2 linked regions of the Arabidopsis thaliana genome follow. The protein of the gene in region 1 interacts with the protein of each later gene in a biochemical or structural test. Each region holds a gene or a part of one and is shown in the gene's direction. Other genes may lie near its edges.

Region 1 (4,024 bases):
CCTTACGAGCAAAATTCTTTGTGTTATCATCCTCTTTTAAAATCTCAGAATCACCTGATGAAAAACCAGAGAGACACAATGCACACAACTCTCAGATATAAAAGATTGAAACTTTTAAGTTTGATTCAGAAAGCAAATTACAAACCACAAAGATTCATATCATATAATGTCAATCACTTACTGGAAACTTCATATAAAATCAAAATTGAAAAAAAAAAACTGAATTCGAATTATGAAAATCAAAAAGGAATGAAGCGGGAACAAAACCTTGGGGATTTAGTTTGAATCGTGATGAAGAAGGAAGATCAGAGCTTGAGGGAGATTCGAAATTTCCTCGCTTCATAACAAAATCTGAGAAATAGATTTGAAAAACAGACAACACTAGGTTACAAAAACTGTTACTCGATGAATAAAAAAAGAGGACTTTTTCAAATCTTCACACACAAATTTCACAAAGAACCCGGATTCAATTTTTGAAAATTGGGCTCTTTGGTAAAATGTAAAACGTTTGGGCCGAAAAAAGAAGAAAAAAACAAAACTGTAAAGAGGCAAAGAGGATATTTTGGTAATTCACTCTGACGCGGATCCTGAATCTCGAATTATTCACCGTTGATTATAACATTATCTAACGGTGATAAACAGCGATCCGCGTAGTTTCTTCTTATTGGTTAAGACGAATCTAAAACAGTATATAAACTCTGGAGAAGATGGAGAGAGTCCATAACAACAAATTCGATTCTTATAACTGTTTCCCTCTCATCTTTACACAAAAGTATTCTAATCGATTTCAATGGCGGGTCGTGGTAAAACACTCGGATCTGGGTCTGCGAAGAAGGCAACAACAAGAAGCAGCAAAGCCGGTCTCCAATTCCCTGTGGGTCGTATCGCTCGTTTCTTGAAGAAAGGCAAATACGCCGAACGTGTTGGTGCCGGAGCTCCGGTTTACTTAGCCGCCGTTCTCGAATACCTCGCCGCTGAGGTAATTCCTCTTCCCTATTCTTCAAATTTTCGATCTTTTAGTTCAATTTCTATAAACCCTAATTTTGACTGATTTTGGGGAAATTTTGAAAAATTAGGTATTGGAATTGGCTGGAAACGCAGCGAGGGATAACAAGAAGACGAGGATTGTTCCAAGGCATATTCAATTGGCGGTGAGGAACGATGAAGAATTGAGCAAATTGCTTGGAGATGTGACTATTGCTAATGGAGGTGTGATGCCTAACATTCACAATCTTCTTCTTCCTAAGAAGACCGGTGCTTCCAAGCCATCTGCTGAAGACGATTGATTAATCAACCAAATCCACTCTCTTGTGTTTTTTGAGTTTTTAAGGCTTTTTAAGAGTAATTTAGATTAGATCTATGGTGAAGAAAGAATCTATCTTCTGTGTTTTTTGAATTGAATTGAATGTTCATATGCTTTCAATTTCTTATGGAATCAAGATTTTAACTTTTCTAGGTTTTCGAGTTATGATGATGAAATTCTTAGTCTTATAAATCACTAAAGACTTGGGATTTTTGATTGGTTGACATAAAGAATGGACTTTTGAGTTAAATTTGGGAAAGCTACTGGGAATGACATCATGAGAGGTGTATAATTGAGCAACTATGACATATATTAAAAGAGATCTGAAGGATTGATGATGATTGGTGGGCCAATAATGTACAACATCCATGAAAATGAAAGATCAAAATTATATAATAGAAACCGATTGAGAGAGAAAGAGAATCCATGCCTAGCACTATACCATATCTCTTTTTTCTTCCGTTTTTCCACACATTGTCTCTACCTTTCCCTTTTTCAGATTTGACCCTTTGTTTTCAAAAGAAACGATTTTTAGTAGCCGCCGGGGAATCAGGAGAATGGTGTCTCCGGAGAATACGAACTGGCTTAGTGATTACCCTTTGATTGAAGGTGCTTTCTCTGATCAGAACCCCACTTTCCCTTGGCAGATAGATGGCTCAGCTACTGTCAGGTTAGTTTTTTGTTAATCAGATTCAAGGGTTTCTGGGTTCTGTGTTTTGTTTCTTTCACCATCTATTAGTTTTGTTTCTTGGCTTTGGACTTTTGGTGTTTTAGGATTGGTAGTTATATCTGGAGAAGTTGTTATGGATGTGTGATCACTCAGTTGGTTTTTAGATGCTCTTGTTGTGATAGAGATATTGGACTTCTGCATAAATCAATCCTCTGTTTTTTTTTTTGTCTCCGTTTTGCTTACGTTCCTCTGTTTCCTAAAGAAGTAGACGAATCTAGATCTCTACCAATTGCGAAAGGAAGGTTCTGTAATTAGTATCTGGAGAAGTTCTTTATGGAGTTTGACCTTGTTGATCACTCAGATTGCTATTAAATGGTCTTCTTGTGATAGAAATATGAAAGAACTGAGAACCTAAAGTATAATGCTTTTTCTCTCTGTTTTGCATCCATTCCTCTGTTTCCTTAAGCAGTAGACGAATCTTGCTTCTATTCTGGAATTCTACAAATTGGCTGTAATCTTTGTAATTGATCCTTCCTCTTGTGTTGATGTGATCTGTTCACAGTGTTGAAGTGGATGGCTTCCTTTGTGATGCAGATGTGATCAAAGAACCAAGTTCAAGGAAGAGGTATCAAACGCTATTTGGTCAAACCTGCGTTAACTAATGACTTTCTTGTTCTTGCTATGCAATATTGGAACCTGTTGTAAAGTTTTCCTTCTTACTGCTGCAGGATCAAAACTGAATCTTGCACTGGTTCTAACTCGAAAGCTTGTAGGGAGAAACAAAGACGTGATAGACTAAATGACAAGTATTTTCTTGCTTTCTCGTCATTCTCTTCTATCATTTACCTTTTGAGTTCTTAATCTTTTGGTATGGTGCTTTGTCAATAGGTTTACGGAGTTGAGTTCCGTATTGGAACCTGGGAGAACTCCAAAAACAGACAAGGTTGCTATTATCAATGATGCAATTCGCATGGTGAATCAAGCAAGAGATGAAGCGCAGAAACTAAAGGACTTGAACTCAAGCCTCCAGGAGAAAATCAAGGAGTTGAAGGTAAAAACTGAAAACTCCTGCAAGATCTTTAGCTTGTCCATTGATCTTATGTATATGCCAATATGTAGGATGAGAAGAACGAGCTGCGTGATGAGAAACAGAAGCTTAAGGTCGAGAAGGAGAGAATCGATCAGCAACTGAAAGCTATTAAGACACAGCCTCAGCCTCAACCTTGTTTCTTACCAAATCCGCAAACACTCTCTCAAGCTCAAGCTCCTGGAAGCAAGCTTGTCCCTTTCACAACTTATCCCGGCTTTGCAATGTGGCAATTCATGCCTCCTGCTGCTGTTGATACCTCACAGGACCATGTCCTTCGTCCTCCAGTTGCTTAAAGCTGCTGCTTCTCTCTACTACTATTAACGGTTCTGTAAGATTACTTCTTACGCGCTTTTTTCTGATGTAATGATTCTCACATTCTGTGATTGGTGACATAGTCCACTGCAACTTAAAATGTAAAATTGAAATAAGCTTGCACTAAAAATCAAATCTCATTGTGCAAAAAGTTGGATAATTTGGAAATCATTGTTTTACAGATTGTGGATTCAGAGGAATATGTAAATGTGTAGGAAGTTTCTTTGAATTGATTGATTGATTCAAGTTTAGCATATAAAAGCAAAGTTTGTATTTTTCAATTACACAAACTCAAAAAGGATTTGCTTTTTGCTTCCTTTTGTGAAATGTTCTTAACCCAAAGAAACTTTTCATTGAGACCTTCTCTTGTTCATGACTTTCTTCAACAGACTCTCACGACCAGGAAAAGGACTTTGAATCTTTGGCTCAAGTTGCTTCTCTACATCTTCTAGCTTTCCCAAAACACCCTTCTGCTCACTTCTATTCACTGTCTTGCCATCATCTCTCCCAAGACTCTGTCTCATCCTTTCTCTCCTCTGTTTTCTCCTCCATCCATTCTCATCTTCCTCTTCTTCCTTCTTCTTAATCTCTCTTCTTCTTACCATTTCTCCTCTCTCTTCTTCTTCTTCGTTCGCCTTCCTTAACCTAG
Region 2 (7,795 bases), on another chromosome or scaffold:
AATAAAACAAAACAAAAGAGGGAAAAAGGATACATGAAAAGAGATTGATCACTATATTGATGGATCACAATTCACAAAAAGCCAACCCATTGCCTATTGTACACTTGCACGATACTCGAAATTTCCAAATAATTCGGAACAAAAAAAACAGCTATATTCATTTTTTAAAATAATCAACCAATCGAATTTAGTCTTAAATTGTATAATTGTTTTAATCATTTAGGTTTACGATCATAATTAGGTGGTCATAGATGCCTATATCGTTGCATTAATTGAAGAAGGGAGAATAATAATCCTACCATCTATGATCCTATAAGATTGCAATAAAGCTATATATATATATATATATTCATATAGTATATATGATCTAATCTCTTGTTAATTACTATATAAATTAGGTAAAGGTTACCGTAGAAAATTACGTGGAACAATGTTGAAATGCTTACATAAGTTGACTAGTCCGTGTTGTTTTTGTTCTTTATAGAATTATAGTCAAGAACGGCGAATTATTAAGTTGTTTCTGATTATAAAATAAATAGGTTGTTGTGAAATCGGGGGAAAAAGAATAATGAATACTTGTTAAATATTGGTCCCCTAATAAATGTTATTTATTTTGGTTATAAGAAAAAAAAGGAATGTGTTGTGGAGAAGAGAGCGCGAGTGGAACTTGTTGCTACCCAATTGTCGCCACACTTCCCACACGTCCCCTCTTGTATCTTTTTTTTACTTTTCACCACTTCCTTTGTCCTCTGTTTTTTTCCCACCATTTTCTACTTCATCAATCTATTCCTTTTGTTTTTTTGGTAAAATATGTAAATATCATCTATTTAAAAATAAAATATGAACGAATAGATTTATAAATATACAAAATTGAAATTTTAAGATACTTTTAATCGAAAAGAGTTCCCAAATATTTACGTAATTAACATTTTTCAAAGTTTATTTAGGTTTAAATGTAATTTTCTGGTGTACCACTAACTAGACTATACATAATATAAACACGACTGTGAAACATGATCATCATTAGCTGTTGATTATCTACTAAAGAATTGTTTGTTATCTCTACATAAGAATATATATTGAACACGATTTCTATTATCTTTTACTAATTTGAAATAGAATTGTTTCTAGTAATGACACAAAATTAATTGACTCAATCTAGTAAACCTTGGAGCACATGCAAACTCAATTAAACAAGTTTAAACCTTTGTATTTGCATTTATTAATCAAAGCAAAACTGTGAAGCAATAATTTAATCAATGGTTTAATTAAGAAGCTAATTAGCTATTTGGCTCCTTTAGATTACGAACGGGTGCTGCTACATCTCCTCTCTGTCATTAGTCATTACTAAATATTTAAACCAAGTTCGAATCTGTCTTACATTATCTTATTTCATAAAATCTCAAAGCCAAATTCATCTTTTCTTTTGAAAGTGCTCCCTCAAAAGCTAAACCTCAAACATATAAAATAGCAAATTCATTTTAACAAAAGCTTAATGAATTCCACGTAAGCAATTACATAACGTTTTTGCCCCTAGTCAGTAGAGTCCCTCCTTCTAACTCCGAGAACCAGCGTCCATGTCTCGCGGACCAAATGCGTTCGTAGGTAAGACGCTTGCACGTGTCGAGATGTAATCGGTCACGTGCCAACCTGGGTTGGTTGCATCAGCATCCGACGTGGCGATGTGAATGGCCACGTGCTACAAAACCTATGTATAGAAACACCCACCCAATCCCCAAGCACTTTTATTCATTTTCTATAAAAAAATTTACAAGGATCGTATAATACTACTAACAGTTTTTTTTAAATATTTTCCAGATAAACATTAATAAAACGATAAAAGGCAAAAAATAAAAAAGAAAAGAAAGCAAAAGCAAAATCAAAATCGATATATCAGACAACGCCTCGACCTTTCTTTCTTTTTTTCCTTCTCATCGTCTCCGTTGAACAACACCACACAAACACCAGAAGAACACCAGATAATTCCCATGGTGAACCGAGCTCAGATTTGAAAATTGAAGGTCGTAGACGAATCATAAGGAAAGAGAGAAGTGGTTTGAGATTTCTTTTTTGACGGACGAAAACGGAGATAAGCTTTGGGGGAAATGGCGACGCCGTTACCAGATTTTGAGACGGCGAGAGGCGGCGGAGCAGTGGCGTCTTCTTCAACCACGGTTCTTCCGAGTTCTGTGTCTTCTTCTTCTTCTTCATCTCGTCCGTTGCCTGTGGCGAATTCGTTCTCGGATGACGCGGAAGAGATTTCTCCGATCCTGATTTTCTTGTTCTTTCATAAGGCAGTATGTAGTGAGCTTGAAGCTCTTCATAGATTGGCTCTTGAGTTTGCTACTGGTCACCATGTCGATCTCCGGCTGCTTCGTGAACGGTACCGGTTCTTGAGATCCATCTATAAGCATCACTGCAATGCCGAAGACGAGGTAATGCGAAAACCTGGTCCTCTTCTTTTAAATTTGATCTCATCATGTTCTGAAAACTGCTGAATTAGAATTTGGAACCATCTCTACTTGGATTTTGAACTCAATACATATAGCTGCAAATTTGTGTAAATCTGACTTGATTTTATCTTAAACGAATTGTAAGTCTCAATTAGTCTCTTGCTGATCATCCTATTGATTCTATGAGTGCGTTGTAGATAGGGAATCTATTGCAACATATTTGTATTGCTATGTTATGAGGAAGAATTGTTGACAGTTGCAAATCTGTGGATGTAGGTGATATTTTCAGCTCTTGACATACGTGTGAAGAATGTAGCGCAAACATATTCTCTTGAACACAAGGGGGAAAGCAATCTTTTCGATCATCTCTTTGAGCTGCTGAATTCTGCCACGGAAACTGATGAAAGTTACCGAAGGGAGTTGGCTCGTTCTACCGGAGCACTTCAGACTTCTGTTAGCCAGCACTTGGCGAAAGAACAGAAACAGGTATTTTTTTCTTTTCCTTCACATCACAGATGTATTATCTCTGTTGTTTTCTATTAACACAGATCGAATATTTAGCATTACGCATTGGCCTTTATTAATTACGGGTTGTTCTTGGCTTGTTGATAGGTGTTCCCCTTACTTATTGAGAAATTCAAGTATGAGGAGCAAGCTTACATAGTCTGGCGGTTTCTCTGCAGTATTCCTGTGAATATGCTTGCTGTGTTCTTGCCATGGATTTCTTCTTCCATTTCAGTAGATGAAAGCAAGGAGATGCAAACGTGCTTAAAGAAGATAGTTCCAGGCGAGAAGCTCCTTCAGCAGGTAAGTTTTGAATTAAGATCCAACTTTCTAAGTTGAAAGACTTTGGCTTGTTGATTGATATTTTCCTTTTGAAGGTTATTTTCACCTGGCTGGGAGGGAAAAGCAATACCGTGGCTTCGTGTCGCATTGAAGATTCTATGTTCCAGTGCTGTCTAGATTCTTCTAGCAGCATGCTTCCTTGTAAAGCAAGTAGAGAACAGTGCGCATGTGAGGGTTCCAAGATTGGGAAGAGAAAGTACCCAGAGCTTACTAACTTTGGCTCATCTGATACTCTGCACCCAGTTGATGAGATAAAGCTCTGGCACAAGTCAATCAACAAGGAGATGAAAGAAATAGCCGATGAGGCTAGGAAGATTCAGCTGTCTGGAGATTTTTCGGATTTATCGGCATTTGATGAACGCTTACAATATATTGCTGAAGTGTGCATCTTCCATAGGTATTTGTTGTATCCTTTCATTTACAATGAAAACAGAATAATCTCAATTTTGCTATTGTTTATTGGCTATCTTTTGTGGGACTATTCAATGTTGATTTATTGAGGTAAATAACTAGATTTGTTTTATAAAGTTGATGTTGATGGCCACTAAAACACGTTTGCCAGCTGTGATGTGTTTTACTTTCAAGTGATATGGATGTTGTTTATCCTTTACTCTTCTCATGCTTAAGCACGTTTCTGCATTAGAGTGTTATCATTCGAAAAAGAGTTTTATCAAATGTTCATATCTACATACAACTTTTTTTTTCTTCTGACAGAGATTGAATTGTCATTGGACTATTTTTGAGATGATCTGTTCTTTTCTCGTGCAGTCTTGCAGAGGACAAGATCATATTTCCAGCTGTAGATGGAGAGTTTTCATTTTCTGAAGAGCACGATGAAGAAGAAAATCAGTTTAACGAGTTTCGATGCTTAATTGAAAATATCAAGAGTGCTGGAGCCTCTTCTACTTCCGCTGCCGAATTTTACACTAAGCTGTGCTCACATGCTGATCAAATAATGGAAACTATTCAAAGACACTTCCATAACGAGGAAATTCAGGTGAACTATTGCTTTTAAGTGCTGTATGATATTGTAAACAGGTGAAACTATGAAAGTTTGGCATAAGATCATTTGATACTATATGCTATGAAGATTCAAGATACCAATTTCAGGATGTCAACTAACTTGTAGTGGTTGCAGGTGCTACCCCTTGCACGAAAGAACTTCAGCTTCAAAAGACAACAAGAACTTCTCTACCAAAGCCTGTGTATAATGCCATTGAGACTAATTGAACGAGTTTTGCCATGGTTGACGGCATCTTTAACAGAAGATGAAGCTAAGAATTTTCTGAAGAACTTGCAAGCTGGAGGTACTATCTACTGTACTGCCTTAAACTTAACCTTCTTTCAAATTATTAGCTACTCACAATTTTGCATAATTACATGCTTTTTCTTGTGGCCTCAGCACCTAAATCGGATGTTGCTCTCGTTACTCTTTTCTCTGGTTGGGCTTGCAAAGGACGCAAAGCCGGGGAATGCTTGTCTCCAAACGGGAATGGTTTATGCCCTGTGAAAACACTAAGCAACATTAAAGAAGTCAACCTTCAGTCATGTAATGCTTGTGCGTCTGTTCCATGCACGAGTAGGAGTACAAAATCGTGTTGCCAGCATCAAGATAAAAGGCCAGCTAAGCGAACTGCTGTATTGTCTTGTGAAAAAAAAACCACCCCTCACTCGACAGAAGTTGCAAATGGGTGCAAGCCATCTGGAAATGGTAGGTCATGCTGTGTTCCGGATCTCGGAGTTAACAATAATTGTCTGGAACTTGGTTCTCTTCCAGCAGCTAAAGCTATGAGATCTTCTTCGCTAAACTCTGCTGCACCCGCTCTTAATTCCAGCCTCTTTATTTGGGAAATGGATAGTAACAGCTTTGGTACTGGACATGCTGAGCGGCCAGTTGCTACAATATTCAAGTTTCACAAGGCCATAAGCAAAGATCTAGAGTTTCTTGATGTTGAATCTGGAAAGCTCATTGATTGCGATGGAACATTTATTCGTCAATTTATCGGTCGATTTCACCTACTCTGGGGTTTCTACAAGGCTCATAGTAATGCAGAAGATGACATCCTATTTCCAGCTCTAGAATCGAAGGAGACACTTCACAATGTCAGTCACTCTTACACGCTCGACCATAAACAGGAGGAGAAGTTGTTTGGAGATATTTATAGTGTCCTTACCGAACTTTCAATTCTTCATGAGAAGTTACAGAGTGATTCTATGATGGAGGACATAGCTCAAACTGACACTGTTCGGACGGATATCGATAACGGTGACTGCAACAAGAAATACAATGAACTGGCTACAAAGCTACAGGGGATGTGCAAATCCATTAAAATCACTTTGGATCAGCACATTTTCTTGGAGGAACTGGAGCTTTGGCCTCTATTTGACAAACACTTCTCCATTCAAGAGCAAGACAAGATTGTGGGTCGTATAATCGGAACAACGGGTGCTGAAGTTCTTCAATCTATGTTACCATGGGTGACGTCTGCCCTTTCTGAAGATGAGCAAAACAGAATGATGGATACCTGGAAGCAGGCAACCAAGAACACAATGTTCGATGAATGGCTTAATGAATGCTGGAAAGGATCACCCGACTCATCCTCAACAGAAACATCCAAACCTAGTCCACAGAAAGGTAAAAGCATTGCTTAGCTATTTCTCACCAACTTAATATCTAACTTGTTTAATGTAACCTTAGATGTTTCTTCTTTGGACTTCATAACTCATACTTAAGCTGGCAACTATAGTTTCTCTGTGCTAAGTTTGTTTTGCTTATGTCAAGTTTATTTTCCATATAGATAATGATCATCAAGAAATCTTGGACCAAAGTGGTGAACTATTTAAGCCAGGGTGGAAAGATATTTTCCGCATGAACCAGAATGAACTAGAGGCTGAAATCAGGAAGGTCTATCAGGACTCAACACTTGATCCGAGGAGAAAAGATTATCTCGTACAGAATTGGAGGACCAGGTCAGATTTTTTTCACTATTTCCACGCATGGATCCTTTATTCCACATTGTCATGCATACAGCATGCCAGACATAAATCTAGAACCCCCCAAAGAGATAATACATTTCCCTGTATTACTTGAACTTCTTTTGCAATGCGGAAGAGTATAAGTGGTGCTCCTGTCCTTTACAGTTTCCCAATCCAAAATAACGTGCTCAGTTTATTTTCCACTGTGCATGTATATGTGTCCTTGATTGAGCAATCTTCTGATATAGAGAACCTATAATCTCATTCACATGTCCCTCATACCCGAATCCTATTTGTTCTAGAGTAACATTTATTTTAAAATTCTTCTGTTGGTGCATTTATCAGTCGATGGATTGCGGCTCAGCAAAAGTTACCTAAGGAAGCAGAAACTGCAGTAAATGGTGATGTTGAACTTGGATGTTCCCCGTCTTTTCGGGATCCCGAGAAGCAGATATATGGATGCGAGCATTACAAGCGTAACTGCAAGCTTCGAGCTGCTTGTTGTGATCAGTTGTTCACTTGTAGGTTTTGCCATGACAAAGTAAGCGACCACTCCATGGATAGGTAAGATCTTATATTCTAAAGCCAGTTTCCCCTAATTAAATTGAAACTTCTTTGTTCGTATTTTTTTTCTCTCTCTGTGATATGTAATTTTATATTTGAAACATATTACAGAAAATTGGTGACGGAAATGCTCTGTATGCGGTGCCTCAAGGTGCAACCTGTTGGTCCCATCTGCACAACACCTTCATGCGACGGATTCCCAATGGCAAAGCACTATTGCAGTATTTGCAAACTTTTTGATGATGAAAGGTAAACAAAACCCAACAGTTTGATGCATAAACGAATCAATTTACCACTGTCAAAAATCAAACTTCAGAAGCTATTCTAACCGTGAGAAACAATTATCTGCATTCAGGGCCGTTTACCACTGTCCATTCTGCAACCTTTGCCGGGTCGGGGAAGGACTAGGAATCGATTTTTTCCATTGCATGACATGTAACTGTTGCCTAGGGATGAAATTAGTAAACCACAAGTGCCTCGAGAAGAGCCTCGAGACAAATTGCCCCATCTGCTGCGAATTTCTTTTCACATCGAGTGAAGCAGTTAGAGCCTTACCATGTGGTCACTACATGCACTCAGCTTGCTTCCAGGTTTGCAAATCTCTCTTTCTCTCATTAAACTTAAATTAACTTTTAACGCCTAAAATCAAAACACTTGCTGTTACTCTGGTCTTTCAGGCTTACACTTGCAGTCACTACACATGTCCAATCTGTGGAAAATCATTAGGAGATATGGCTGTAAGATGATCCCCGCCCCTCAAGAGTGTAACATGCATATCACATCATGCAAATATTGTTTACTGAACTGTTTCTTCTTCGTTTCTTTTGCGAACTCCACAGGTTTATTTTGGTATGCTTGATGCACTGTTAGCTGCAGAAGAACTTCCAGAGGAATACAAAAATCGCTGTCAGGTGAGAAACACTAAAACTGCTGCGTCTTGACTATTTCTTTTAGTC

The links. Proteins that work in one complex are often made in the same cells at the same time.
Region 2: the proteins of bHLH115 (region 1) and BTS form a complex in vitro, tested with the Arabidopsis thaliana proteins (one study listed by BioGRID).

Annotation. Positions count from the first base shown.
Region 1 is NC_003070.9:18,926,158-18,930,181, forward strand, and holds bHLH115 (basic helix-loop-helix (bHLH) DNA-binding superfamily protein), read left to right. Parts: upstream 1-1,719; 5' UTR 1,720-1,860; coding exon 1,861-1,973; intron 1,974-2,077; coding exon 2,078-2,275; intron 2,276-2,535; coding exon 2,536-2,598; intron 2,599-2,701; coding exon 2,702-2,779; intron 2,780-2,861; coding exon 2,862-3,024; intron 3,025-3,092; coding exon 3,093-3,356; 3' UTR 3,357-3,523; downstream 3,524-4,024. Other genes in the region: AT1G51055 (FBD-like domain family protein), read right to left, coding at 2-54, 146-158; HTA10 (histone H2A 10), read left to right, coding at 791-979, 1,077-1,286; AT1G51080 (golgin family A protein), read right to left, coding at 3,726-4,024.
Region 2 is NC_003074.8:6,272,203-6,279,997, forward strand, and holds the start of BTS (zinc finger protein-like protein), read left to right. Parts: upstream 1-1,763; 5' UTR 1,764-2,105; coding exon 2,106-2,435; intron 2,436-2,729; coding exon 2,730-2,939; intron 2,940-3,065; coding exon 3,066-3,260; intron 3,261-3,334; coding exon 3,335-3,696; intron 3,697-4,067; coding exon 4,068-4,296; intron 4,297-4,437; coding exon 4,438-4,606; intron 4,607-4,701; coding exon 4,702-5,934; intron 5,935-6,097; coding exon 6,098-6,269; intron 6,270-6,620; coding exon 6,621-6,839; intron 6,840-6,950; coding exon 6,951-7,088; intron 7,089-7,194; coding exon 7,195-7,429; intron 7,430-7,516; coding exon 7,517-7,576; intron 7,577-7,678; coding exon 7,679-7,750; intron 7,751-7,795. UniProt on the Arabidopsis thaliana protein: Essential protein. Negatively regulates the response to iron deficiency and thus contributes to iron homeostasis. Exhibits E3 ubiquitin-protein ligase activity in vitro.